6 linked regions of the Callithrix jacchus genome follow. The protein of the gene in region 1 interacts with the protein of each later gene in a biochemical or structural test. Links are inferred from orthologs where the notes say so. Each region holds a gene or a part of one and is shown on either strand. Other genes may lie near its edges. The genes, in order: UBA1, UBE2Q2, ubiquitin-conjugating enzyme E2 C, UBE2R2, UBE2J1 and UBE2L6.

What was found.
Region 2: of the proteins of UBA1 (region 1) and UBE2Q2, one has a biochemical effect on the other in vitro, tested with the Homo sapiens proteins (3 studies listed by BioGRID). The link is inferred for Callithrix jacchus from reciprocal best matches to the Homo sapiens genes UBA1 and UBE2Q2.
Region 3: of the proteins of UBA1 (region 1) and ubiquitin-conjugating enzyme E2 C, one has a biochemical effect on the other in vitro, tested with the Homo sapiens proteins (5 studies listed by BioGRID, with this or other methods). The link is inferred for Callithrix jacchus from reciprocal best matches to the Homo sapiens genes UBA1 and UBE2C.
Region 4: of the proteins of UBA1 (region 1) and UBE2R2, one has a biochemical effect on the other in vitro, tested with the Homo sapiens proteins (5 studies listed by BioGRID, with this or other methods). The link is inferred for Callithrix jacchus from reciprocal best matches to the Homo sapiens genes UBA1 and UBE2R2.
Region 5: the proteins of UBA1 (region 1) and UBE2J1 form a complex in vitro, tested with the Homo sapiens proteins (2 studies listed by BioGRID, with this or other methods). The link is inferred for Callithrix jacchus from reciprocal best matches to the Homo sapiens genes UBA1 and UBE2J1.
Region 6: of the proteins of UBA1 (region 1) and UBE2L6, one has a biochemical effect on the other in vitro, tested with the Homo sapiens proteins (2 studies listed by BioGRID). The link is inferred for Callithrix jacchus from reciprocal best matches to the Homo sapiens genes UBA1 and UBE2L6.

The regions. Positions count from the first base shown.
Region 1 is NC_133524.1:48,161,008-48,166,014, forward strand, and holds part of UBA1 (ubiquitin-like modifier-activating enzyme 1), read left to right. Parts: coding exon 1-118; intron 119-1,077; coding exon 1,078-1,184; intron 1,185-1,460; coding exon 1,461-1,551; intron 1,552-1,662; coding exon 1,663-1,795; intron 1,796-2,342; coding exon 2,343-2,440; intron 2,441-2,547; coding exon 2,548-2,694; intron 2,695-2,830; coding exon 2,831-3,007; intron 3,008-3,135; coding exon 3,136-3,240; intron 3,241-3,328; coding exon 3,329-3,409; intron 3,410-3,722; coding exon 3,723-3,878; intron 3,879-5,007. UniProt on the Homo sapiens protein: Catalyzes the first step in ubiquitin conjugation to mark cellular proteins for degradation through the ubiquitin-proteasome system.
Region 2 is NC_133509.1:25,156,603-25,162,358, forward strand, and holds the start of UBE2Q2 (ubiquitin-conjugating enzyme E2 Q2), read right to left. Parts: upstream 3,708-5,756; 5' UTR 3,405-3,707; coding exon 3,225-3,404; intron 2,923-3,224; exon of another isoform or gene 2,604-2,922; coding exon of another isoform or gene 2,595-2,603; intron 1-2,594.
Region 3 is NC_133507.1:94,914,026-94,918,287, forward strand, and holds ubiquitin-conjugating enzyme E2 C, read right to left. Parts: upstream 2,335-4,262; 5' UTR 2,282-2,334; coding exon 1,742-2,281; 3' UTR 1,553-1,741; downstream 1-1,552. UniProt on the Homo sapiens protein: Accepts ubiquitin from the E1 complex and catalyzes its covalent attachment to other proteins. In vitro catalyzes 'Lys-11'- and 'Lys-48'-linked polyubiquitination.
Region 4 is NC_133502.1:140,788,948-140,793,172, reverse strand, and holds part of UBE2R2 (ubiquitin-conjugating enzyme E2 R2), read right to left. Parts: intron 1,581-4,225; coding exon 1,361-1,580; 3' UTR 1-1,360. UniProt on the Homo sapiens protein: E2 ubiquitin-conjugating enzyme that accepts ubiquitin from an E1 ubiquitin-activating protein, and catalyzes its covalent attachment to other proteins by an E3 ubiquitin-protein ligase complex.
Region 5 is NC_133505.1:95,380,634-95,385,640, reverse strand, and holds the end of UBE2J1 (ubiquitin-conjugating enzyme E2 J1), read left to right. Parts: intron 1-2,200; coding exon 2,201-2,479; 3' UTR 2,480-4,240; downstream 4,241-5,007. UniProt on the Homo sapiens protein: Catalyzes the covalent attachment of ubiquitin to other proteins. Functions in the selective degradation of misfolded membrane proteins from the endoplasmic reticulum (ERAD) and is essential for cells to recover from ER stress.
Region 6 is NC_133511.1:115,123,791-115,128,470, forward strand, and holds part of UBE2L6 (ubiquitin/ISG15-conjugating enzyme E2 L6), read right to left. Parts: intron 1,521-4,680; coding exon 1,334-1,520; intron 1-1,333. UniProt on the Homo sapiens protein: Catalyzes the covalent attachment of ubiquitin or ISG15 to other proteins. Functions in the E6/E6-AP-induced ubiquitination of p53/TP53. Promotes ubiquitination and subsequent proteasomal degradation of FLT3.

The sequences.
Region 1 (5,007 bases):
GGACATCGGTAAAAACCGGGCTGAGGTATCACAGCCCCACCTTGCTGAGCTCAACAGCTACGTGCCTGTCACTGCCTACACTGGACCTCTCGTTGAGGACTTCCTTAGTGGCTTCCAGGTATCTTGGGGTACCACCCAGCCTTCTGCCCATTTCTCTTAGAGCCCATTTCTCGTTTATTCAGTAGTGTTCAATATTGATTTAATGGGTCAGCCTGAATGTCAGGTTTTGTGCTGGGGGACTAGAGGATGCAGGCAGCAGCATTTAGCTCCTGGCCCTCCCTGCCTTTTCAAATGGTACAGCATAGTGGTTGTGGGCACAGACTCTGGAGCTAGACTGACTTACGGTGGGTCTCCAGCTCTGCTAGTGTGACTTCAAGCACGTTGCTTCATCTCCTGTACCTTAGTTTTCCTGTTTGTGGTCAGTGTGTAGTAGTAGCACTGGCTTCATGGACTATTTGTAAGGGTTAAGCACGTGGAATTGTAGCTGGAACATGATAAGGACTGGATGGGTGTTTGTTAATTAAAAAGTCCAGGCCAGAAAGAGGTACTCTGAGAGCTGAGAGTCGGCCCTCAGGGATCCCAGGTTGCCAGGGCACTGCAGCTAAATCCTGATGGAGGAGTAGGAGCTCACCCGGGTGGGTAAGGATGGACATTCAGGCAGAGAGCAAAATCCCAAAGATCATGGCGGAGCAGGCGTTGTCTTGAGAATTGGAAGCAGGTGGGTGTGGTAGGAGTGAGCTCAGACTTTGGCTGGAGACAGAGTTTTACTCCAGTGTCTCACAGGGCATGGCAGGCTCCTGTAGGCAGACAGCAGTGGGTGTTTGTCAGATAATGAGTCACCTCTTCCAAAAGCCATCCTCCCAGCTACCTCTTCACCTTTTCTGGTATAGTCCAGAGATTCATTTTTGACCCCCACAGTGTCTGATGCACAGTAGGTGCTGTGTTTTTGTGAAAGAGACTGACTCAGCAAAGCCTGGATATGTCTGCCATGAGGACTGCCTGAGTCCTCCACACCAGCCCTCCACCATTTTCTCCCCTTCACCCCAATGCTGGGCCTGAGCCTCCATCTCTCCACAGGTGGTGGTCCTCACCAACACCCCCCTGGAGGACCAGCTGCGAGTGGGTGAGTTCTGTCACAGCCGTGGCATCAAGCTGGTGGTGGCAGACACGCGGGGCCTATTTGGGTGAGTGCTGGCCTGCACCCCTCTCTGTTGCCTTTTCCCCTAACTCCTACCAGGCTCAGGCCAAGACCCCCAGGCTCTCCCTGCCCTCATCCCTTCACAGGTACCCAGGTTTTGGGTTCTGTGTGTTCATCTCTACCCATGTGGCCCAAGTACCGTCTTACATCCCAGCAGCGATAGGCTGAGTTTGCTCAGCAAGTTTTCACTACTATTTTGAGGGACCTGTGGGGCCTGTATGTGTGTGGGAGTCGGGTACCAGCCTATTGCCTCCCTCTACAGGCAGCTCTTCTGTGACTTTGGGGAGGAAATGATCCTCACAGATTCCAATGGGGAGCAGCCACTCAGTGCTATGGTTTCTATGGTTACCAAGGTAAGGAGATCAGCCCTGTGGTTCCTGGCAGACAGGTGGGCTGTGGTAGTCCTTCCTGTCTGCTCTTGGTACCCTGGGCCTGTTTCTGAGACTCACTTTTCCTTTAACCAGGACAACCCCGGTGTAGTTACCTGCCTGGATGAGGCCCGACATGGGTTTGAGAGTGGAGACTTTGTCTCCTTTTCAGAAGTACAGGGCATGGTTGAACTCAACGGAAATCAGCCCATGGAGATCAAAGTCCTGGGTGAGCTGGGACCGTGAGGGAAGCAGAGGGGAGGTAGGAGATAGGTTCCTAGGTTCTGGCCAGGGAGTTGAAGGGAGAAAATACGGCCCTGGGTTTGGAGTAAGGGGAGACACATCCTGGTGTTTGAGATGAACTACAGACAATCCCGGGGGGGTCCAACAAGAGCTGGTGGGCGTGGGGGAGAGGCGCTGTGTTCGAACTATTCCTGGGAGTAATGTATGCCTGGTATCCGAGCTGAGCGGGGAAAGGTCTCTGGTGTTTGAACAGGGCAGATCAGAGAATCTACTTGAGTGTGAGCTGATTTGGATGAGGAGCAGAGAAGGTCTTCCCATGTAGACTTAGAGCCAGGGTCACAGGGTCTCACGGAGTCTGAGCTGGGTCTGGGGCACAGGAGAGAGAGTTTCTGAAGTCCAAGTGGAGCCTGGGGTGGGGGGAGAAGGCTCCTGTTGTCTGAGCTGAGTGGGGGGCGGGGGGTTCCTTATCTTGCAGGAGTTGTGGATTTTAGGGAGAATGGGTAGACTGACAGCTCTCTTCCTGCGGTCTGTAGGTCCCTACACCTTTAGCATCTGTGACACCTCCAACTTCTCCGATTATATCCGTGGAGGCATTGTCAGTCAGGTCAAAGTACCTAAGAAGATTAGCTTTGTGAGTGTGTCGATGGGAGCATTGGGCTGTGGTGGGTGGTTCTAGGCATTCCCGAGTTCTCCATTCCTTCTTCTGGTTCTTATGGACTCCCGCTTCCCCTGCCACAGAAATCCTTGGTGGCCTCACTGGCAGAACCCGACTTTGTGATGACGGATTTCGGCAAGTTTTCTCGCCCTGCCCAGCTGCACATTGGCTTCCAGGCCCTGCACCAGTTCTGTGCTCAGCATGGCCGGCCGCCTCGGCCACGCAATGAGGTGGGTGGGTGGGCAGGCAAGCCAGCAGTGCAGACATGCCTGGTACTGAAGGCCCACCATGCCTCTCTGCCTGTCCACACTCCCTCCCCTCACTGTGGCCTGACAGATCCTCTCTTGGTTCTTTCTGGCCCACCAGGAGGATGCAACAGAACTGGTGGCCCTAGCACAGGCTGTGAATGCTCGAGCACTGCCAGCGGTGCAACAAGGGAACCTGGACGAAGACCTTATCCGGAAGCTGGCATACGTCGCTGCTGGGGATCTGGCACCCATAAATGCCTTCATTGGGGGCCTGGCTGCCCAAGAAGTCATGAAGGTCAGCATGGGTGGGGAGAGGCAGGGTTGGGGTGGGCCAGGTGCCTCCCTGACTCCATCAGTTGCTCTCCATCTGTGTCAGAGCCCTGTTAACCACTGACCACCCCTTTTCTCCTTTCCCGTCTCCAGGCCTGCTCTGGGAAGTTTATGCCCATCATGCAGTGGCTGTACTTTGATGCCCTTGAGTGTCTCCCTGAGGACAGAGAGGCCCTCACAGAGGACAAGTGCCTTCCGGTATGTGGGTGGGACTTGTGTGGAGGGCATCATTGGGGGCATTTCTGGGGAGGCCTCTCTCTAACTCTGCTCCCTTCGCATTCCTTAGCACCAGAACCGTTATGACGGGCAGGTGGCAGTGTTTGGCTCAGACCTGCAAGAGAAGCTGGGCAAACAGAAGTACTTCCTGGTGAGTGGTACCTTGGATGCCTGCTCCCCTCACCTCGGCCTCTGGCCATCTCCCCTCAGGCTTCCTTCAGCATGCCATCCATGGTGCATTGCCTTTGCCATTCTTATCTTGAAGGAAAGCCCAGTGCACCCCTGTTTCCTCCTCTGGTGCCTCCTTCCTCACATGACTGTGTGTCATTTCTTAGAGTCCTGGGCCCTGAAGATGTGGTATTAGTCCCTCTCCTCATCTCAGGGGAGTAAGGGGTGATGGGCAGCTTCACACTAGCCTGCATCATCCTGACCAGCCTCTGTCTGTCTTTTTGGTTGCCTCTTAGGTGGGTGCAGGGGCCATTGGCTGCGAGCTGCTCAAGAACTTTGCCATGATTGGGCTGGGCTGTGGGGAGGGTGGAGAAATCGTCATTACAGACATGGACACCATTGAGAAGTCAAATCTGAACCGACAGTTTCTTTTCCGGCCCTGGGATGTCACGGTGAGTACGGTGGGTGTGGGGACTTTGTCATCTCACTTTTCTCCTTTTTTTTTTTCCCCTTTGGAGATGGAATTTCTCTCTTGTTGCCCAGGCTGGAGTGCAGTGGCATGGTCTCGGCTCACCTCAACCTCCATCTCCCGGGTTCAAGCAATTCTCCTGCCTCAGCCTTCCTAGTAGCTGGGATTACAGGCATGCACCACCAAGCCTGGCTAATTTTTGTATTTTTAGTAGAGACTGGGTTTTTCCATGTTGAGCAAGCTGGTCTCAAACTCCTCACCTTGTGATCCACCCGCCTTGGCCTCCTGAAGGGCTGGGATTATAGGCGTGAGCCACTGCACCCATCTCCCTCCTTTTTCTTGTTCCCTTTTTGTTTTTGTTTTTGCCTTGACCTCGTCTTCATACTGGTTGAGATGATATGTCCGGGGTCCTCAGAACCACTCTCAAGCTCAGTTCACCGAGAGAATTCAACAGGATTCAGCATATAGTTGTGCTCGTGGCTATGATTTATTATAGCAAAAGGATACAGAGCAAAATCAGCAAAGGGAAAAAGCTGGTGGGGTGAAGTCTGGGAGAGGTGGGAGCAGCTCTCTAGGAGTCTCCTCCCAGTGGTAGTTATACAAGGTGGCCTTTATTTCCCCAGTAGCAATAGTAACGACAGTAATAGCAACAAAGTATAACATGAAATATTGCCAACCAGGAAGGCTTGTTAGACTTAGCACCCGTGCTTTTACTTGAGGCTGGTTATGTAGGCACCCCCTGCCTGGTACATAGCAAAATGTCCAGACTCCTAAAAGGAAAAGTGTTCAGCATAAACTGTATTGTTTGCATGAACAGTTTAGGCACAGTGAACCACTGATAACAGGTAGGGAGTGGTGGGAACCTTCCTGAATTCCGGGTTCCCAGACTCCAGCTGAGGGCCAACCTTGGAAGCAGCATTTTCAAGAGTTGCAGTTTCAGTCTCCTAGGCTTACACTTCTTTGCATATATGGAAACTGAGTTGGTTATACAGGGATCTCTGAGAAGCCTGTGGGGAACAATGTCACTTTTGCTTACCCAGGATTTATTCTCCCTTTCATTTATTCATCAAATAGTTATTGAGGTGCTGTTTTAGGTATTGGATATACCAAGG
Region 2 (5,756 bases), on another chromosome or scaffold:
ACTAGAACTGTCTAAAGAGGAAAGTTAAATAGGTCAAACTCATTGCCTTTTTCTTTTTCTTTTTTTTTTAAGACAGAGTCTCGCTTTGTCGCCCAGGCTATAGTGCCATGGTGCAATCTCTGCTCACTGCAACCTCTGCCTCCCGGGTTCAAGCGATTCTCCTGCCTCAGCCTCCCGAGTAGCCAGGACTACAGGCACCTGCCACCACGCCCAGATAATTTTTTGTATTTTTACTAGAGATAGGGTTTCAAGGTGTTACCCAGGATGGTCTCAATCTTCTGACCTCGTGATCCGCCCACCTCAGCCCCCCAAAGTGCTGGGATTATAGGAATGAACCACCACGCCTGGCCCTTTTTTTTTTTTTTTTTTTAAGAGCTACAACTTCAGAGAACAACAAATCATAAATCAAACCAAATAATTTGAAATCCAACCCCATTTTCCCCTTGATCTTTCCCTTCTAAACAAATGGTATGGACATGCAGAAGCCATGTTGATTTTATCAAAACACTCATCCATGTTTAGAAGAGTCTTTACATCCAGGCACGGTGGCTCACTCCCATAATCCCAGCACTTTGGGAGGCCGAGGTGGGTGGATCACTTGAGGTCAGGAGTTCAAGACCAACCTGGCCAACATGATGAAACCCTGTCTCCAATAAAAATGCAAAAATTAGCCAGACGTGGACACCAGTAATCCCAGCTACTCGGGAGGCTGAGGCAGCAGAACTGCTTGAACCCGGGAGGTGGAGGTTGCAGTGGGTCCAGTTCGCACTACTGCACTCCAGCTGGGGCAACAGAGTGAGGCTCCGTCTCAAAAACTAGCAATAAAACATAAGAGAGTCTTTACTTTCAAAGGATACAAACAGAAATATTTACAGATGAAGTGATCTGTCTGGAATCTGCTTCAAAATAATCCAAAGCGGAGCACAGAAGAAATAAGATTACCCAAAAGTTTATCATTGTTGATGCTGGCTACATTACACTGTTCAACTTTTGTACGTTTGATGTTTTTCCAAAATAAAAAGTTAGCAGACATTTGTACTGAGCAGCTGCCATAATTATCTTCTGATAGTCTGTCAAATTTCACTAGCACCTCAATCTTAATAGTTTCTACTTAGCGGTGCCATTACGCTAGTCCTCACCAAATCCTCCTTGTACTCAAAGTGTCTCTTTCACTTCTTGCTCCACTTCTGTTGCCACTGCCTAATCCAGGGATCACTCGTTATCTTTGTCTGTAGCAGACTCTTGGCAGTGTCCAGTACGGTTCTTGATGGAGCACCAGGAGCACTTTAGGTGAGATAATTCTTTGTTATGGCATACCGCCTGAAGGTAACAAAACATCTGGCATCTCTGCACCCCTGGCATTAAATGCCAGCACAGCAACAAGACCACCCTACCCTCAGTGGGATAACCACACTTCCTAATGCCACCCACTGCAGAGAAACACTTCTAGTCCTGGATGGCAGATACATTCTCCCAATTCACTTGAGTAACTTAGTAGCTCCCCACAGCCTACAAAATTCAGTCTCCTATCAGTCAAACCAGCCCAACCTTTTCCTGGCCATGCCCCAACTTCTATGAGAATAATCACCCTCCAAGCCATTCAGGCCAGTCTCCTTATAACACGTGCTTTATGCCCACTCCTACGCTTCGGTTTCCACTCTCGGAAAAATCTTCCCCTTCGCCCTCTTACATCTTGGGCTTCTCAAGTCTGAGCATAAATTTCTACTTCTAAGCAAACCACACTTTCTCAAGTTTCCATGTCTTTTCTGGGTGGAGTTTCCTCAGTCTCAAAAGCCCTTCCTCCAGCCTTCCAAAATTGTATTCACCTATGGAAGCTCAGCTCCAACTGTCTCAGCCTCTCCTGAAAGCCTTCTCTGAAGCACACCCCCCTCCCCCAAATCAAAACCGGCTGCTCACTCTGCCTTTCACGAGATACCACAGGAGCTGCCACTTTGTTGAAAACTCTTCCCCCAAGAAGTCTGAGTTTTGAAAGCGAGGACTGCTCTGCTCAATTTTGCAACACTAGTGCCCAGAACACTCAGACGTATTCATTCAATAAATGATTTCTCTCCTCAATACATCACTGAACTGCACTGTCTTCTGAAATGAACACATCTTCTCCCCAGATAGTCTGGTAAACATTTTAAGGCCAATTATAAGGTCAAGGTTTTTGCAAACACCAGCCACACTGCAGGCACTTGGTGCCCACCGACTCAACCAAAGGGAGTTAAAGACAAGAGACTTCGGTTTAGCCGTATTTGAAGAGGAGACCGAAACCACCACCTTGACGCCTTTTACAACCAAGAGAATATTCAGCAGTTGGGACCAATATCCTAAATCAATTTCACAACGAATAGCATCATGACACACTTTTATGGAGAAACTTACTTAATACTTCAACTATTCTACCAAGCCTTGGGTTTCTAACGAGCTTTCCGCTTAAACCAAAGAGTGAGCTTTTCAAAGTGTCTTTTCGGCTTTGTGACACAAGTGATCTTTCCTGGGAGCAGCCCTGGCGCGAATCTCCTTTCACCCATCCATTTTCGAGGCTTACACACACGGGAGGAGCCACACGAACACACACTCAACACCACCTGCCGCATCGACGGGTACTATGCGCCTTTTCACAACACGGCAGCGCGCAGCCAGGCCCGGGGAGAGCGGTCGCTCCAACAGCACCAGGGGCCGCATTCCAACTTTTCCTCGGTCAACGAGTCCGTTTTCATTGTCAGTTTCTCCTTAAACGCAAACTTAAAAAGAACTGGCTACACAAGCGGGAACGAGGAAAACCTGACTGAAGAATGAGGCGTTAAAACTTAAGGACCGTTCCCCTCGCCCGCCTGGGCTCAAACAACAGCCAGAGCCTCCCCGCCCCGCCGCGGTCCCGGGAGCAGGCCGGCTAAGGGCGGCCATGGGCCCCGTGAGAGCTCGGGCCGCCGCGGGCTCGCACTTCGCGGAGCGGCGACGGGGGCCGAGAGGGGCCAGCAGCCCCTAAGCGGACGCCGAGCGAGAAACCGGACAGAGACGCGCCCCCCGCCCCCTCCCACCCAAGCCTCGCACGGCCCCAGCCGGACCTGGGCTGGGCCAGTCGCGAGGGAGAGGGGCGGACCTGCCCCGCCCGTGGAGCCGGGGCCTCTCAGGGCAGACCCCCCTTTGTCCCAGGACTCGGGGCGCCCCCTCTCCGCCCTGGCCCTACCCCCCGGGGCCGCGGTCGGGTGCCTCACCGTGATGTTGCAGTGGAGCGTGAGCGGCGGCGGCGGCGAGTGCGGGCAGCCCGGCTGCGGCACCAGGAACTGGCAGTGCAGCTCGTCCAGCTTCCAGCTGACAATGCGGAATCGCTCATGGTTCTTGTGGAAGATGGACGCCAGGAACTTCAGCTCGGCCTTGAGCCCTGACACGGACATCTTCCCTTCATCTCCAGCGGGAGGGGCGCGGAAGGGGAGCCGGGCCCGGAGCCGCAGTCACGGCCGCGACCGCCCCGCGGGGCCGGCCTGGGCCGCGCTCTGGCGGCTCCGCCTCGTCGAGAGCGACTGGAAAATGGCGAGGGGCGCGGAAACCTCGGCGGGTAGCTGTGAGGCTGCCTGGAGTGCTGTTCCCTTTGTAACCCACTCCAGCGGCAGGAGGAGGTGGCCCGGCGGCTTAAAAGGGCAACAGCGTCGCCGCCCCCACCACCGCCTGAGAAAGGGCTGCCCCCACCCCGCCCCCGTTCTCCTCACCCCGGCGCGCCTTGCGCGCACCAGTTTCGGCGCGTGCACGAGGCCGGGGCGCGCGCGGGCACTTCCAGCCGCCCCCTCCTCGCCTTGACCCAGCTCCCTTCTGCCCGACCCATCTGCTTCGTTCCTCGCACCCGCGGACTGTTAGCTCTGAGCCAGCTGGCGCTCGGGCCCCAGAACTCGGGGAGGAGCCGGAGACCCCGCGCGTCCCCGCGCCTGGCTTGGGACCGGACACGTGCGCGGCGAATCGCGCCGGCCACGTCGGCGCAGCTGCAGACCCGAGCCAGCCCCTGGGGGCAGCGCCTCCGCTTGGCCCTCGGCGCGGCACCCGCTAACCACACCAGCGGGACCTCGTGGGAGACGCGGGTGCGGCCCACCCAGCGTCACCTCCGCCCCTCTCACCCTGGTGTAAGCCACCGCTTCGCTAGCCTGGGTCCTGTGAGGACCTTCTCGCGGGACTCACTCCTCCCGTCTTTGCTCTCAAACCGTCCATTTACCCAGACGATGGTTTGGCACCCGCAGGCTGTTTCCTCTTACCTCCCAAGATTTTATCCTTTCCCTTAACTACCACCTGTGTTCACTCTGCCGTATATATTGTTTCCACTTTCCTTATTTTGTCCTATTTCCCGAGCTTAAGATAACCCTCTCTGCTCCCATCCCTATGGAGCCAGGGCTGCCCGCTGTTTTCATTAAACTCTTGGCTCAAATGTCATCTCCGGGCCTCCCTAACCACCCAGTTTCAAATAGTCACCCTGTGTCACATCATCCTGTGCTAAGTTTGTTGAGCACCTGTCACCACCTGATCTGTTCGCCGTTGATTTGCCCAATGTTAATGTGTTAAGAGCTGTATCCCCAGGGCCTAGAACCAGACCTGTTATATGGTAGAAACCCGATATGATTGAATCGAATGCTCGCTCTTATCTGGAATCCCCACCACTAGCACAATTCCTGGCACATTCTAGGTGCTCAAAAAATGAATAAAGGACTGCATGGCAGTCCAAAGGAATAGATCCCAATTTGGCAGACAACACTGTGTGTAATAAATGCGAGGGGCAGGATGAGCTGCATGTGCATCCAACCTGTGTAGTTGCACAGTGCTCCCAGCTTAGAAGGGTTCCGAGTTTGGTTTAGTACTCTCGTGTCACCATTTTGAAATTCGTAATTTTTCAAAAAGGGGCCCCGCAGTTTCCTTTTAAACCAGTCTTACCTAGAGTTACCTAACCCTGGCACCTAAATGTCTCTTTTTCCTAATCTACAAGAAGTCCCCGAGGTACTGTTCCCCTTACATGACAAAATACGGAACAACACAGGGACACATTAAGTCTACGGAAAGTTTTTGTTTAGTCTGCAAGAAGACATACATTTTCCCAATTTACCTGAGTAACTTAGTAGCTCCCCACAGCCTACAAATTGGGTCTCCTATCATTCAAACCACCCTACCGTGTCCTGGCCACGCCCCAACTTCTACCATCTTCTATCCCAGCTTGGATCAGTCCAAGTCAATAGTGAGTAAAATTGAAGTAGGGAAAATGGCAATAGAAAGGACCGCACTGGGAATCAGTGTGGGGCAGAACTGCTACATCTTAGAGATCACGAGAGGATAGAAGGACAGAGAGGAAACTTGTTTAAAGTAACACTTTGAAATTTCTAGAGCAGGTGGCTAGGAGGGAGTGATGTCATTGACACATCAAGAAAAATAGGTTGAATTTGGTAGGCTGATGGAACTTGGAGAGTTTGTATCTTAAGTGTGAAGTTGATGAGGGTAGTCAGAGCAAAGGACATAACACTGGGTCAGCCACACAGGTGGTGGGTGATGGTGGAAGCCATGGTATAGGTGTGATCATTGAGTCACAAGGGAGGGAAGACAACCTGGGATGTTGACGGGACCCTGAGGAAGGCTCACCATGGGTGCCTGAGTGGGAAAGGAGTCATTTGAAGAAGTCAGCGATGACCCATGTGTTGAATTCTTTGAGGAAGGGACAAGTAAGTTCAGGACTAAGAAAGTGCCATAGGCTTTAGGGATTAGGAGGTCAGTGGTGCGTC
Region 3 (4,262 bases), on another chromosome or scaffold:
CAGGATGCTTATTGAAAACCCAGATTCCTGAGCAATAGTGAACACATAAAAGAATCAGAATGTGCTATGTCTGAGCCCTACAATCTGCCTTTTATCAGTGTTCATGGGTAATTCCTAAGTACACGGTGAAGTTTAAGAACCATTGCCGTGGGCCTTTAATACCTCTCGTTTTGTTAAGAACTTCATTATAATTCAGCAAATGCAAACATAATTCACATATGCTGATTCTGATACCAGAACAAGTAATTGAATTAGGTTTTATTCTGTGTTTCTAATTTACAGATAATAAATCCACACTTTTCCTTTGCTAAAATGTGAAGTAAATTCCCTAACATTAAATCGCACTCGTAACTATGACAACGAATATTACTAGACCCATTTTATCATTTAAATAAAATAAAAATCAAATGCCCAGGGCCCTTATTGATTGTATATGTGTAATAATGATGTAAATACTCCTGTATATATCTGAGTAACCATAGTTTCTTACAAATCGTAGTTTGTAAGATCTGTGTAGATCTGTGTCCTAGTCAGCACAGATCTAAGGCAGCAGAAAGTTATTTGCCCCTATCTCTCAGAAAAGCCAGGTGGAATGCTTTAAACACCTGGCACTTGAAATTGTGTTGTGTATGTGTGTCTGTTTACTGATTTGCTGTCTGCATCCCAACCCACAAAGTGTGAACTATGAGTGCAGGGGCTCTATCTACCACTGAAGCACCAGCACCTAAAACAGTGCCTAGTGGATACAGGTGCTTAACAGATATTTATTAAATAAGCAAAAAGAAAGGGAATAGTCCCACATTAAGACAGTGCATAATATGAAAACTTCACCCTAAATCATCAATAAATCTTTGAAACCACAATGTTTATTTTCAATGGTCATTTAATTGTGTCAGTTTATTTTATTAGCCAAAGTTTGTAGTATCATACTGCCCTTTGATGCTATTTGGTGCCTGGAAAATATGCAGTACAGGCTTTTCTTTCCTTCTTGTTCCCTAACATTTCTGGGGCTTGGGGGGAGACAGGAAGGGAAAAATGTTCGTGAGTCTTCACTGCTGTATTGCTCGCATAGCTCAAAGACTACGTTAGAATCATCACATCTTTCCTGAAATATGTTGCCAGCCTGCCCTTGGAAGCAGAGTCCTGATAACCTTGTGTTAAAGAGTGTCTAATGCACTAGACATTTATTTAAGATCGCTTATGTGCTAATAATGGAGACATTCAACACAGTGCCCAATTTCCTGTATTTAAACTTACTGTTAGGTCACCCTAACAACAAAACATTTCTGTTGTTTTCCTTTTATGCTTCTTTCCCTAATAAACTGTGGAAAAACTCAGAAAGAAAATTAAAAACATTTTAAGATTGCAAAAGTATAATCTTTTGAAAATGCTGCAATGTCAAGCAATGTATTTACAAAGCAATGCTGACATTTTAAAAACAGATAACATTCAATAAGTTTATTTCATTGTATTATCTCTAAGATTTTCTGAGCTATTTCTTTTTGTTTTTTTTTTCCCCCGGCCAACTTTATTTATTTATTTTTTGTCTAAAAAAACGACCAAAATGCATTTATTTAATATACATCACAAGGGCTCAACCGAGGCTTAATTTAAAAGACAAAACAAAACAAAAATAACACCACAGCTCAAGATACAGAGTCCTATACAGAAATCACAAAAAGGACAGAAGACCTAAGGAAAAATGAAAAAGATGACACAAGGACAGGCTGAGCAGCCTGGGTCAAGGCTCCTGCCTGGTGACCTGCTTTGAGTAGGTTTCTTGCAGGTACTTCTTAAAAGCTGTGGGGTTTTTCCAGAGCTCAGCAGCATGTGTGTTCAAGGGACTATGGATGTTGGGTTCTCCTAGCAGGCTCTGGATGGAGAGCAGAATGGTCCTGACATCATACAGGGCAGACAACTTGTCCTTCAGGATGTCGAGGCATATGTTACCCTGGGTGTCCACATTGGGGTGGTAGCAGGGTGTGAGGAACTTCACCGTGGGCTCATTGTAAGGGTAGCCACTGGGGAACTCTAGCGAGAGCTTACACCTCAGGTCTTCATATACTGTTCCAGCTGCTCCATGGATGGTCCCTACCCATTTGAAAAGGTTGTCTGATTCAGGGAAGGCAGAAATCCCTTTATCGCCAGACATCATTAGGGTCATCAGCTCCTGCTGTAGCCTTTTGCCCACGGGGCCCCGGGCGGCGCCCCCGCTCGGCTGGGCTCCTTTACGGGCGGCAGCGACGCTAGTGGCGGCTGGGTCGCGGTTTTGGGAGGCCATCCGGGCGGCGCTGGCAGAGAGACAGGAACTCGGAGAACACGACTGCAACTGCCTGGCCAACTTTATTTTTAAAAATCAGGGAGGGCCAGGCGCGGTGGCTCAAGCCTATACTCCCAGCACTTTGGGAGGCTGAGGCGGGTGGATCACGACATCAAGAGATCGAGACCATCCTGATCAACATGGTGAAACCCCGTCTCTACTAAAAATACAAAAAATTAGCTGGACATGGTGGCGTGTGCCTGTAATCCCAGCTACTCGGGAGGCTGAGGCAGGAGAATTGCCTGAACCCGGGAGGCAGAGGTTGTGGTGAGCCGAGATCGTGCCATTGCACTCCAGCCTGGGTAACAGGAGCGAAACTCCATCTCAAAAAAAAAAAAAGAAAAAGAAAATATGTGGTGAGGCTGAGAAACAAGAAGTACGATTTTTTTTTCTCGAGGCGGAGTTTCGCTCTTGTTACCCAGGCTGGAGTGCAATGGCATGATCTCGGCTCACCGCAACCTCTGTCTCCCAGGTTCAGGCAATTCTCCTGCCTCAGACTCCCGAGTAGCTGAGACTACAGGCGCGCACCACCATGCCCAGCTAATTTTTGTATTTTTAGTAGAGATGGGGTTTCACCTTGTTGACCAGGATGGTCTCGATCTCTTGACCTCATGATCCACGCGCCTCGAACTCCCAAAGTGCTGGGATTATAGGCGTGAGCCACCGCGTCCGGCTGAAGTATGATTTAGTCTGAATATATAGCAGGGCTAGAGGAAGTGGCAGAATGTAGGGCACGAGGCCAAAATAGATTATAGGGGATTTGAGCTTTGTCTTATGGAAAATAGGAACTACTTAAGGTTGGTAAGCAAATACATTCAAGTTCTAAGTTGATCTACCTGACAAAAAGCTGGTGCAATAGTTTGGGTGAGAAACAATAAGGGCTTGAACTACAGATGATGGTGAAGAGAGGATTCAAGGGAACCAGAACCTTGGACTCAACTCCAGACCAGTGGGATACTACAATGTGAGTGAGGCCATTTTGGAACTTCCAGTTTGGCCCAGCCCCAGTGGAGAGCAGCTGATATGAAGTGGGGGAAGAGCCACACCATCCTCTTTGAGCTCTGCCCAAATTCCCGCTTTAAGCCATTACATTCTGGGTGCCTTTTTAGCAAGAAGAGATAACTGAGACAGTACAGCCATCCTAGGTATTGTGGCGCATTGGTTCCAGGACCTCCTGGGGACAACCAAATCCAAGGGTGCTCAAGTCTTTTATATAAAATGGCATAGGCCAGGGCATGGTGGCTTATGCCTGTAATCTCAGCATTTTGGGAGGCTGAGGTGGGTGGATCACTTGAGGTCAGGAGTTCGAGACCAGCCTGGCCAACATGGTGAGATCCTGTCTCTACTAAAAAATACAAAAATTGGCCGGGTGCAGTGGCTCACACCTGTAATTTCAGCACTTTGGGAGACCAAGGCAGGTGGATCATGAGGTCAGGAGATTGAGATCATCCTGGCCAACATGATGAAACCCCGTCTCTACTAAAAATACAAAAAAATTAGCTGGGTGTGGTGGCACACGCCTGTAGTTCCAGCTACTTGGGAGGCTGAGGTGGAAGAATTGCTTGAACATGGGAGGTGGAGGTTGCAGTGAGTGCAGTGAGCTGAGATAGTGCCACTGTAACTTTACTCCCACCTGTGTGACACAGACTCCATCCCCCTCCCAAAAAAGATGCAGTATTTGCATATAACCTAAGCAAATCCTCTTGTTTAAATCATCTCTGGATTACTTATAATAGCTAATATAAGGTAAATGCTATGTAAATAGTTGTTACATTATTGTTTAGGGAATAATGATGAGGAAAACAAATCTGTATATATTCAGTACAGATGCATTGTTTTTCCCAGATATTTTTTATCTGTGGTAGGTTGAAGCCATGGCTGTGGAACTCACAGATATGGAGGGCTGATTTTACTTTTTTTTTTGAGACGGGCTCATTCTGTC
Region 4 (4,225 bases), on another chromosome or scaffold:
AATTGAAGCAACACGACAGAGATCTGGAAAATCAAAGCTGCAGCGAGTGCATCACAGGAATATATAGCCTTACCTGGCCTAAAAACTGCCTGCAGTCAACTCCCTCAGCCACAAGACACAATCCCAAGGGGAGCTCTATGCACAAATTCTGCTTGCGCTCCACAGCCCAAGTATGTTGAAAGGAGAAAAAAAGTCCAGCTCGCATCCAATGAAGACAGCGAGAACTGGCAACTTGTCTCACACACATCCATGTTTTTCACTACCAATCAGTATAAGCAGCTCGATGAAAAACCAAAATCTTAACACATGCACCTAGGATTAATACTGAGTAATTAAAGGTGGCTCCTGAAAAAACAAGAAACAAAACGACATGGTAAGAGTGTATTTCTGATGGGAAGGCCATGCTAAATATAAAACAGATGGTTCCTCTCCCAACGGTGGCCACCAGTAGCATCAACCAAACAGCGTAGTGATTTTTAACTCTTTGTTCCCATCACTAAGTCCACCCCCACACACTCATCCCAACTTCCCAACTTGCCCCACTCCCTGGGGGGCGGGGGGGGAGGGAGTAACAACCCTGCAATAAACAGCAACCAAGTGCTCAGTTCTATGTAAAGTATGAATATTTATTTCAGGCTTTCCATCCCAATCGATTTCAAAAAACAAAGTCTGATTTCTCTCCTCAGAATAGCTGAGGCCTCCATGTTTTAGGATGATTTCATGGAGATTGGAGGAGCATATTTCATCAGGCTTAGCACAAAGTCCCTGACACCCACCATATCCCAGCCTTAGGAAGGGAAAGAAACAAAACTCACCACCTTGGGGCTGAACGAATGCACACAGGCTAATGTAAATGAGCAGCTAAACCTTGGCAAATTTGCTTTTTTTTTTTTTAAGTTTGTTTTGTGAGTTTTTTTTTTTTCCATTTTCTTTTGCTACCCAGTATATGCAGCACTTGTGAACTCCCAACAGGTTTCAGCTTTAAACACATTAAACATCTTGAAAGACTATTTAATTCTTCAAGAATCTAAAAACAGACCAAACGTGTTTTGCTGTGAACATTCTGTAGAGACGGAGTGAGGCGGGAGTTTGGGTTGATGTTTTTTAAAAAAAGAATCAATACAGTGATGGAAGGGTAAAGAATGCAAGAATTCAGACATTCTGTGGAGGGTTACTCTCTCTCCATTAAAGGTCCATAAAAAGGAGGAAACTGAGATCCATAAGGGGAGTCAGCAGGAGCTGTGTGTTTCCCCGCCCACTGTGAATAGGTTTTTGCTGAGGGGCCATGGCCAGGTCCCCACTTGCTCCCCTCCCTTTGGCCTGAGACGGCAGGGCAGTACAGGGGCACTGAAGGAGCACGTCACGACTCCTCATTCCCAGAATCATCATCATCATAACAGTCGGCATCTTCCTCCTCCTCATCTTCATCATCAATGTCGTCATCATACAAGTCGTCGTAAAGCAAATCTGAGCTGTTGTCGTTGGAAGGCACTTTAGTTTTGATGCAGTATTCCGCCAGGGTTGTGGGGACCTTCACTCCATCCTTTTCTGCTTCAGCCTTAGTGGCTGAAACCTGTTTCCTGGAGGGAGGGTGACAAATGGTTTATGGTAAGTCACTGTTTAGAGACAGATTTATAACTGGCCTTAAATAATCATTACTTATGACTCAGATTTCCAAACTTCAGTACCTGCCTGAAAGCATCTGACAGATACCCTGTACTATGTAAACTTTGACCTTTTAGGGGGGAAATACAGTGTTATGTCAAGGAAGTTTAAAGCAATGGATCAGTTATAGCCAGAACCACTTCTGAGTCGCCTCATCACCAAAACTCATTATGTGCCCCCAACAATTCTATTCACTTATAGTAAAATTCAAATACCTTATGCCAGATTCCAAAGTCTTGCATGACCCACTCTTTTATTCTTTCTTTGAGACAAGAGTCTTGCTCTGTCACCCATGCTGGAGTGCAGTGGCGCAATCTTGGCTCACTGCAACATCCACCTCCCAGGTTCAAACAATTCTCCTGCCTCAGCCTTCTGAGTAGCTGGAACTACAGGCATGCACCACCACACCCAGCTAATTTCTGTACTTTCGGTAGAGATGGGAATTACATCATGTTGGCCAGGCTGGTCTCAAAACTCCTGATCCACCTGCCTCGGCCTCTCAAAGTGCTGTGATTATAGGCTGAGCCACTGAGCCCGGCCACACAACCCACTCTTGTATTTTCTCCCAGCCCATCACTTTCTCCAACTTCAACACATTCACCCTGGCCTTTTTTTTTTTTTTTTTTTAATTTGTATTTATTTTTTACAGTGTTAGGTATAACACCCTGGTCTTTTTTGGTATCTCAGACACACCTCGTTGATTTTTCTGTCTGCACCACTTGCTGTGCCCCTGCTTCACACATGCCTGGCTCCTCCTTGTCACTCAGAAAGCAATGCCTCGGATGTTAAGGCTTACAAATCACCTTAGAGAAGGCCTGGCCAGACAACCCAATTTAAAGAACCATCTAGTCACACTTTCACATTATCCTACTTAGCACTATCTAGTATTTTTTGTTTGCTCATTCTTATGTCTCCCCATATTCTAATGTGAGCGTCAATGTCTGTCTTAGTCTCTTCTATTTCCCCAGTGCCTAGCACAAAGCCTGGCACAGAAGAGGTGTGCAGTCAATTCTATGAGTGAACAGAGCAATATGTTGTTTCCTTCAACAATTACAAAAATTTGAGTCAAGGCACTCTTCTTGATCTTCCTAATGTCAATATCTTTTGGTTGTACTTGAAGCTCTTCTTCTGTTGCCTTGCTTTGCATATGGATGGTCCTGAGGTTTCTGAGCTTGAATCTCCACTCAGCATTCTCCCTGGGACATCAATCATATGTTCCCATATTTTAGCCACCACTCATTTTATGCTGACAGCTCTTGGCTTATATAAACAAATGCCTTTTGGAAGCTTCTGTCCTGATGTTCCATATGCAGAGGTAGACTACATATGCATTTTCTACCTCTGTAGCCAGTTTCTCCCATTTTACCTCTCTGAATAAACATCGCTTAAAATAATAAATCTCACTCCGAAGACCTATTGTTTTATAGCTTTTTTTTTTTTTTTTTTTTTGAGATGGAGGAGTCTCACTCTGTCGCCCAAGCTAGAGCACCGTAGCATGATCTCTGCTCACTGTAACCTCTGCTGCCCAGGTTCAGGCAATTCTCCTGCCTCAGCCTCCTGAATAGCTGGCATTACAGGCACCTGCCACCACACCTGGCTAATTTTTGTAGTTTTAGTAGAGATGGGATTTTACCATCTTGGCCAGGCTGGTCTTGAACTCCCGACCTCATGAGCCACTGCACCTGACCACAGCTTAAATATTTTTTTATCTGTCATCTCATCCCTACTGCTACTGCCTCAGTTTAGTCCATGTTGGTCCCCTCGTCAACTGATTTTTCTTTTTGAGATAGGGTCTCCCACTGTTAACCCAGGCTGGAATACAGCAATGCGATCTTCGCTCACTGTAACCTCTGGCTCCAGGGCTCAAACAATCCTCCCACCTCAGCCTCCCAAGTAGCTGCGATTACAAGCATGAGTCGCCACACCGGACTAATTTTTTTGTCGAGATCTGATTTTGCCACATTGCCCAGGCTGATCTTGAACTCCTGAGCTCAAGCGATCCACCTGCCTCAGCCTTCCAAAGTGGTGGGATTACAGGCGTGAGCCACAGTGCCCAGTTGACGGTCTGCCCCCTGCTTTTTATTGCATTTTAGGTTTTGGGGTACATGTGCAGAACATGCAAGATAGTTGAATAGGTACACACGTGGCAGTGTGATTTGCTGTCTTCCTCCCCTTCACCCACATCTGGCATTTCTCCCCATGCTATCCCTCCCCAACTCCCCCCGCCGCTGTCCCTCCCCTATTCCCCCCAATAGACCCCAGAGTGTAGTGCTCCCCTCCCTGTGTCCATGTGTTCTCATTGTTCATCACCTGCCTATGAGTGAGAATATGTGGTATTTCATTTTCTGTTCTTGTGTCAGTTTGCTGAGAATGATGTTCTCCAGATTCATCCATGTCCCTACAAAGGACACGAACTCATCGTTTTTGATTGCTGCATAATACTCCATGTGCCACATTTTCCGAGCCCAGTCTATCATCGATGGGCATTTGGGTTGGTTCCAGGTCTTTGTTATTATAAACAGTGCTGCAATGAACATTCGTGTGCATGTGTCCTTGTAGT
Region 5 (5,007 bases), on another chromosome or scaffold:
ATTGAAATAGAAGTTGGACAGATGCATATTTGCCTTTTACCCAGCAATAACTTGTATAAAGTGGGACTGAATAGTTTTGAGTAAGTCTCTACTATTCAGAGAGTGAGCTGGGCAGGGAAAAGTTTGTTGAAGAACAAGGGAGAGGGTGGTACTATAGGGGACTGAAGATGGAGGTCCAAGAAAAAAGCATGTGGGGATCAGTTTAATCATTTTTATGTGATCCCAGTGTAATTTATGAATTGCAGAGGAAAATAATAAATTAATTTTAAAGTCAGTATGTTTTAGTTTAAAATACTAAAAAAGCTTTCTAATTACTTTCTATTTCATAGTTTTCTTAAGGAAGGTGATAATCTTTTTTTACCTTTTAGGACAGCCTCCTAATGTTTGTGATGTATTTAAATCCTTTGTGTATTTTAAATCTATGTTAAGTCCCCCTTGTTACATATTCCAGTTATACTTATTCCAGTTGTAATTTACTTTGTAATTATTTATTGTCTATCTCTCTTCCCAGAATGTAAGTCCCTTGAAGGTGAGGGGTCTCTTTCAACTTCTCCACTGTATCCCCAGTGCCTGGCTTAGTGCCTTCTATACAGTAGATTGTCAGTGTTTATTTGTTGATTGAATGAATGAATCTTAGGATTGACACTTTAAAAAATGCTAGGAATATAATTAAATAAATCAAGAAGTAAATTAGAGTATACAAACAATGATGTTATTATAGTAGTATTTCTCATTTTGATTTTAATCTACATAAAACTTAGAATTCTTATTCATAGATATAGGTCATTAATTGATACCATTTTTGGTTAAAATACCAACAAGCAATCAGTTGTCTACAATTGCAAGTTAAGCTTTTAATTATATTTACATATAAACTATCTCAGAGTATGATTATGTAATTTACCACTGTGAAAGTAACTGAAACCAGTTTGGCTAAGGGTGATTACTTTACATTAAATGTAATATAAATTCATTGATATGTTATACATCAAATCCCAGATAAGCTATGATTTTTTTTTTTGTTGTTGTTAGCCTTGAGGAGGAGCAAGAGATTGTTAAAACTCTAAATACAGCTGATAACATCAGGCCATCTGCTGATTTTTGTTGCAGTTATTTTAGCATCAAGAAGTAATGGGAAATGCAGAAGTGGGAAAAACACTAATGGCAGTTTTGTTCTTGGAATCTATCAGATTTTCCCCTTTTCCCAGGGATTGAGGTTCTGAAATAAGCCATTTCATTTTATATTAAAAAGCAAAACTCCCTCACACATGCTGGTTATTCTAGGTTATTATAGAAAAATTTGTATGTGTATATATATAAGTATATATATCACTAGGGACTTAACTAAGAATGTGATTTTTTTTTTTATGAGACAGAGTCTTGCTCTGTTGCTCAGGCTGGAGTGCTGCGTGTGATCATAGCTCACTGCAGACTCAAACTCCTCAGCTCAAGTGATCCTCCTTGCCTCAGCCTCTCAAGTAGCCAGGACCACAGATGGGCACAACCACACCTAAGTTTTTAAATTTTTTTGTAGAGATAGTGTCTTGCTCTGTTGGCCAGGCTGGTCTCAAACACCTGGGCTCAAGCAGTCCTCCTGCCTCAACCTCCCAAAGGGCTGTATGATTGTTTGAAATAGGAAACATTTTAGAATTTTATCAAGGTACTCAATTTTTAGTCAGTGTTATACCATCCACAAGGCATCTGAGGCTGGGCACAGTGTCTCATGCCTGTAATCCCAGCACTTTGGGAGGCCAAGGAGGAGGATTGCTTGATCCCAGGAGTCCAAGACCAGCCTGGGCAATGTGCAAGATCCCATCCCTAAAAATATAATGATTAAAAAAAATAGAGACAAAGGCATCTGAAACACAGGAACCTAATTAAAACATTATATGTATATAAATACTTTCAGTAAGTGTATGTGTTAAAATATCATCTAGGGTCAATGTTTTAAGGGATTGTTTTTCTAAATATATCAATAAAACTAATAAAAGGCCAGAAAGCTGTCCTGAGTTACAACTTTTTTTTTTAACCTAAATTTAGATGCCTCCGAAAGGATACATTATTAGTAACTATCATTACTGGTAGTGTTGCCTTTAGCCATATGTTGTACTCTGAGATTCTATGTATTCTTGAATAGATAACAAGCATTTATACAAATCTTCTTTGCCAGTTTCAAACAAAATTTCTTAAAATTTCCTAGAATGGAGTCCAGAATTCCTCAGCAGCATCCTTTCAACAACCTACCCAGCCTGTAGCTAAGAATACTTCCATGAGCCCTCGACAGCGCCGGGCCCAGCAGCAGAGTCAGAGAAGGTCATCTACTTCACCAGATGTAATCCAGGGCCACCAGCCAAGAGACAACCACACTGATCATGGTGGATCAGCTGTACTGATTGTCATCCTGACTTTGGCATTGGCCGCTCTTATATTCCGACGAATATATCTGGCCAATGAATACATATTTGACTTTGAGTTATAATATTGTTTTGTGACTTAAGAGCTGTGACTCAACTGCTTCATTAAACATTCTGCATTGGGTATAATGTAAGAATTGTTTACAAAAAGATTATTTTGTATTTACCCTTCATTCCTTTTTTGATCCTTATAAGTTTAGTATAAATATATCTAGACATTCAGACTATGTCTAGCAGTTATGTCCTGCTTAGTGTAAGGGACTGGAAGTCAAAGTTCCTTGTCTCACTATTTGATCTGCTTTTCAGGGAAATAACTTGTTATTTTTTCTCATGCATCGCCTTCTTTTTATGTAAATTTGTAATACTTTCCTGTATTGCCCTTTGAAATTTTTGGATAAAAGATGATGTTTTAAGTTCCAGTGAGTATTACTAGTTACTCAATACCATTTATTGAGTACTCTATTTCTACGTATTTAGAATGTATAGGGTTAAAACAGTTGAAAAGGGTAAGCAAAACTCAAGTAGTTTCCTTAAAAAAAGTCATTCGTAGGAGATTTACTGGGATTGCTCATTCTGTGACTTTGTGTCCTCAACATTCTTCAGTGAAAAAACTTTATTTCAGTCAAACATTTATGAGGAAATGAGATCACATCTTTGTCACTGGATGTTACTTGAAGAGGGAGTACTTTGTAACCACTTTGATATGCTGTTATCACCACCCCCTGACCCCTGTTGCCATACTCACACAAATTTAACAAGAAGTAAAACAGTCTTCCATAGATTTTTGTTTTAAGGAAGAAAGGGTCCAAGCTAGGAGATCGCTTTATTTTCTTCCCAGAAGTTAAATGGGGAGATCTTAAGATTTGAATGTTTGCTCTGCTTTGAAATGTATGTCTTTTGAGATGTATTATATGCCTAGCTTTATAATCACTATAAATTTTAATTCCAGGAATATGCATAATATTGAAATATTTCATGTACTATTTTAATAGAAAACCTCAGGGCCCAGGTAGCAGTGATAGAAGTTAGAAAAACATTTACTTAGAATTGTCTACCTAGTCAGAGCCCAAGAAAGAATTTTGAAAAATCAATATATAACTTAGTGCTAGCTAGCTCCACAGACTCTAATAGATAATATTCTCATTATAATGCCTGGTGAGACCATGTAATCACAGAAAAACCTTGCCTTCAGCATGTTCAGAATTGTCTACCTAGTCAGAGCCCAAGAAAGAATTTTGAAAAATCAATATATAACTTAGTGCTAGCTAGCTCCACAGACTCTAATAGATAATATTCTCATTATAATGCCTGGTGAGACCATGTAATCACAGAAAAACCTTGCCTTCAGCATGTTCAGTTCGCAGCACTGAAGGCACTCTTGAGGGTGTTGTTAATGAAGATTTAATTTTTAAATGTAGGTAGTCCCAAGCTTTCAAATAGGTTATGCTCCAAATGGGTGTTTGTAAGTTAATTTTTTTACAAGTCAAACAATGTTGGAAATTGTGTTTAGGTTCTAGATCAGTCCACAAAAGTTAGCTCATATGTGTATATCTTGGATAGGGGAGGGTATTCATAAAGTCCTTATGTTGTTTTAACCAACTGAAATTATGGATAAGAGAAACAATTTGTAAAATCATTTTAAAGGCAGATTTAATTTTTATTCCTGTTTATGGAACATTGGTTCTATTAAAACTGTCAGACACAATTTCTGTTTTCATCTGAGAGCCAGTTTTCTTTTATTTCTACATCTAAAATAAGAACATATTGTACACTATTATATAATACAGAATTGTCTTAAACTTTAATAAATTAGCATTTTAAAGGTGTTTATAGATTGTTTTTTATATCTGTACTGAAATTGATAAAGTCTAAAAAGCTCAAGGACTTTATGAAGAACTCATGTGGGGAAAATCATAGGTTACCATTTATGACTTTATTGCCATGATAAAATACATTCTAAAATCTTGATGTGAAACATACTAGAGATATTGGTTCAGTGCTCAGTGGTTTCCTAGCAAGAAGTCACTGACCCAGCTGGGAAAACCAGGTAGTATCATATGAGAAGAAAGGAATCCCCACCACTTTAACCTCTGCTGAGATTAATTGTGTGCTAGGAACAGTCTTCCTTCCATTTCCCCTCAGTCAAACCTGAGCCAGCCTCTGGATCAGTGTGATCTTGTTGCATGTTTCCATGGGGTGTACCTATACTTTAAGCCAATCCTGCTGCATTCACTGCTAAGTTAAAAAAAAAAAAAAGCCAAGAAGATTTTGCATTTTGCAGATCCTTCTCTCTCTGACTTGCATCTCTTCCCTCACCTGTCAAGTAGCTACCTGCTTGTTTGTGTTGGGATATTTTTTAGCACCTGATGCACCATCTGAAAGTGGCACCATTTTCTTCTTCCCTTTCGCCTCACATATGCTCCCTAAAAATCAAATTGTCAATCTGACCCCCCCCCCCGATGTGAGGTTAATGAGCAAAATCGGTCTTTGGAGCCTTCTTGTCCAAGCCCCACTGAAAAGTCTCCAGAAAACTATTATTTTTAAAGTTCTGCTTTAACTCCTCAATTCCAGCACAAGGCCAAAACTTAAGGAT
Region 6 (4,680 bases), on another chromosome or scaffold:
TAATCCAGGTGGAGAATAGCCTACTGATTCAGCCACAGGCTCTAGAGCTGCATTGTACAATATGACAGCCACTAGCCACACGCGGGCATCTAAATTTAAATTAATTAAAATCAGGCCAGGTGCAGTGGCTCACACCTGGAATCCCAACACTTTGGGAGGCCAAGATGGATGGATGGCTTGAACTCACAAGTTCAAGACCACCTTGTGCCACATGGTAAAACATGGTCTTTACCAAAAATACAAAATTAGCCAGGCACAGTGGCATGCTCCTGTAGTCCCAGTTACTTGGGAGGCTGAGCCGGGAAGATGGCTTGAGCCCAGGAGGTGGAGGTTGCAGTAAGCCAAGATCTCACCACTAAACTGCCTGGGGAAAAGAGATAGACTTTGGGTCAAAAGAAAAAAAAAGAATTAAAATTAATTACAATTAAAAATTGAGTTCTGCCTGGGTATGGTGGCTCACGCCTATAATCCCAGCACTTTGGGAGGCTGAGGTGAGTGGATCACCTGAGGTCAGGAGTTCGAGACCAGCCTGGCCAACAGGGCAAAACCCCATATCTACTAAAAATACAAAAATTAGCCAGGCATGGTGGCACATGCCTGTAATGCCAGCTACTCAGGAGGCTGAGGCAGGAGAATCGCTTGAACCTGGGAGACGGAGTTTGAAGTGAGCCGAGATCATACCACTGCACTCCAGCCTGGGCGACAGAGCAGGACTCTCTGTCTCAAAAAAAGAATTGAGTTCCTCCATTACAACCACCACATGTGGCTAGTGAGCCAGCCAAGTGCTGTCATTTGCCATCTGTATGAGCTCAGGCAACCACTTCACCTCTCACAGGCTTCAATGTCCAGGTCTATTAAACATGACAACACTACCTCATGGGGTTGTGGAGGAAATACAAATGAAGTCGGCCTGAGATGCTCTTCGCACAGTGCTCAGTCGAGTGACAGGTCTTATCATTATTATTAGGCCAGTTCCCTCCACTGTCATTTAGGACACAGAGTCCCAGAAAGGATCGAAAACTTGCCCAAAGTCTACAGAGGGAACAGGGGGCTTTCTTATCCCGAGCCCTTCCTGGTGCAGCCAAGCTGCCTCTCCCATGAACCACGGCAAAGTTCTTCTGTCACTACTGCCCAGGTATAGAAACAGAGGCAGGAGGAAGTCAGCCTGTCCAGGAAGCACCCCTTCTATCTCACAGTAAGTTCAGCCAAGACTCACAGTTTTTATCTCCTCTTTTTTGGGCTTTTCAAGCTCAGAGTAAGTCTGTGAACCCCCTCTCCAGTAATCTCTCCTCCTCCAATAGCAGTCCCTCCTCCAGGCAAAGCCCAGACCCACCTTGGCAAGTCTTGGTGCAAGGCTTCCAGTTCTCGTTGCTGATGATGGGCAGGCAAACCTGTCCATTCTCATCCACATTGGGGTGGTAGATCTTGGTTGTGAATTTGATCGTGGGAGGCTTAAACGGATACTCCTGGGGGAAGCTGATGCACACATTGAAGGCCTTGAGGTGGTAAGGAGGTTGGTCCTGTGCAAAGAGAAAAAGGATCAAGCTCTGGTTTGGTTTTCCTCCCCTCCTGCCCCCATCCGAGGGTCCTAGGTATTGTCTGCTTCACTTCCAGGATGAATCATGAGCCAGGGTATGCACGGCACCTGCATTCATTTGACAACTGAGTTATGGATTACTCAAAGTGTGGAATCACCAAAGGGCACTGGCCTAGTGGGCAGAGAAGTCCGATCCTGGCCTTTGCTGTGTGACCACAGGTGAGCCACTTCCCACCCCTAGGCCTCAGTTTCCTCAATTGAAAAGTGGATAAAGATGGCCTAGGTGAGCTCTAACAACCATCTCAGCTTTCAAGGCTTTCTGAGATTATGGAAGAAAAGGATAGAACATCCTTTCTTAGGACAGTAGAATGGGGGTGAGGAAATGGAGAAAATGAGAAAATCCTAAGAACTCAAGAGCTTGGGAAAATAAAATGGTGCAGCTGCGATGGAAGACAGTATAGCAGGCCAGGTGCAGTGGATCACACAGTAATCCCAGCACTTTGGGAGATCGAGGCAGGCAGATCACGAGGTCAAGAGATCCAGATCATCCTGGCCAACATGGTGAAACTCTGTCCCTACTAAAAATACAAAAATTAGCCCAGCGTGGTGGTGCGCACCTGTAGTCCCAGCTACTCGGCAGGCTGAGGCGGGAGAATCGCTTGAACCCAGGTGGCGGAGGTTGCAGTGAGCTGAGATCGTGCCACTGCACTCCAGCCTGGTGACAGAGCAAGACTCCGAGTCAAGAACAAACGAAAAAACAAACAAACAAAAAAAAAAAACAGTATAGCTGTTCCTCAAAAGATTATACACAGAACTACCACACAATGCAGCAATTCTTCTGGGTATGTACTCAAAGAACTGAAAGTGAACAGGTATCTGTATCCGGATGTTTACAGCAGCATTCTTCACAATAGGCAAAAGGTGAAAGCAAACGAGTGTCCATCAATGGCTCAGCCAACAAAACGTGCCATATACACACAATGGAATACTATTGGCTTTAAAAGGAATGAAATTCTGATGAATGCTACAACATGGATGAAGCTTGAAGACACTGTACTGAGGGAAATAAGCTAAACAAAGTGCTGGGATTACAGGCGTGAGCCACCTCCCCAGGAGGGAGAAACCCCAGAACTTGGGTGACCCCAGTGCAGAACACAGGTGCCTTCAGGCTGATTCCAAATTACCAAATCTTTTCAGAGCTTTTGTTATTGAAAGGACAGAGCAAAAGACAGCAAGAATGGCCTATGTGGTTAAGCGGAGTCAAGATTTTCAGAGCTCCTCCTCCTTAATGGGCAAAATAGAAACCACGGTGATCTTGAGCACGTTGAGATAAGAGATGGAGTAACTCGTAGGAAGATAAAGAAAATATCTCAGCTCTTATGGTCTCAGTAAGAAAATAAGAAGACAGTGCTGGACTTGTCAGTCGGAGAAGGCCAAGGGCTGCAGCCTCAGAGGAGGATGGGAAGGTGCTGTGGTTGGATGTTTGCCTCTGCAAACCTCATGTTCAGATTTCATGAAACTTGCTCCCCAAGGCCGGTGCGGTGGCTGAGGCCTGCAATCTTAGCACTTTGGGAGGCCGACACAGGCGGATTACCTGAGCTCAGGAGTTCAAGATCAACCTGGGCAACATGATGAAACCCTGTCTCTACTAAAATACAAAAAATTAACAAGGCATGGTAGTGTGCACCTGTAGTCCCAGCTACCCAGAAGGCTGAGGCAGGAGAATTGCTTGAAACCAGGAGGCAGAGGTTGCAATGAGTCTTGCTCTCCGCTCCAGAGCAAGACTCTGTCTCAAAGAAAAGAAAAGAAAAGAAAAGAAAAGAAAAGAAAAGAAAAGAAAAGAAAAGAAAAGAAAAGAAAAAAAGAAGAGAAAAGAAATCTGATCCGAGTGTTGGAGGTGAGGCTTTGTGGGAGGTGTATGGGTCATGGGGGCAGGTCTCTCATGAATGGCTCAGTGCCATCCACACAGTAATAAGACAGTTCTTACTCTAATACTTCCCGAGAGAGCTGGTTGTTTACAACGTCCTGGCACCTGCCCTCTCTTCTCTCTTCTCTCTCTCTCTCTCTCTCTCTCTCTCTCTCTCTCTCTCTCTCTCTCTCACTTCTCTTGCCATGTGATCTGTATACGCAGCTCCCCTTTGCCTTCCACCATGAGTGGAAGCTTCCTGAGGCCCGAGGCCTCACCAGAAGCAGATACTGGTGCCACGCTTCTTGTACAGCCTGCAGAAGCTTGAGCCAAATAAACCTCTTTTCTCTGTATATTACGCAGCCTCAGGTATTCCTTTACAGCAACACAAACAGACTAAGAGAGGGTGTAGGTGTATCCTGTCTGAAGGGGCTTCTTTCTGGGCTTTGTAGGTCTTAACAGAGGAAGGAGGTAGCAGAGTCCTGGAGCTGAGAGCTCTGGGGACCTGTCCCAGCTCTGCCTCGGACTTGCTGTATGACTGAGCTTTCTCTGAGGATCAGTTGCCTCATTTGTAAAATGGAGAAGTTGGACCAGAGGATTCCATACTGTGTCTTACTGTCACTTGAGAAAGTCCTACTACCTTCTAAGTACTAGGTTAAATAAGGTATTTTGCTCCTTTTTTTTTTTTTTTTGAGAGAGAGTTTCACTCTTGTCACCCAGACTTGAGTGCAATGATGCAATCTCGGCTCACTGCAACCTCTGCCTCCCAGGTTCAAGCAATTTTTGTGCCTCAGGTTCCTGAGTAGCTGGGATTACAGGAGCCCACAACCACGCACAGCTAATTTTTGTATTTTTAGTAGAGACAGGGTTGCTGTCTCTACTAAAGAAAAAGAGTTTTGGCCAGGCTGGTCTCAAACTCCTGACCTCCGGTGATCCACCCACCTCAGTCTCTCAAAGTGCTGGGATTTCAGGCGTAAGCCACTGTGCTCCACCTGCTACTTTTTAAAAAAAATTTTGAAAACTATTCATTTTTCATGGAGTGGTTAAGAGAGAAGACCCTGGAGTCCGCTGAATTCCACTCCTACTACTTTATTCTGAGTAAACACAGACCAGTTACTTAACCTCCTTGGTTTCCATCTCTGCAATTTTCAGAGAAAGAAAACCTTCCTCAATGGATGGTTGAGAGGATAAAACAGCACTTGGTCCACAGGAGACTCTCAGGGAATGAGAACCCTTA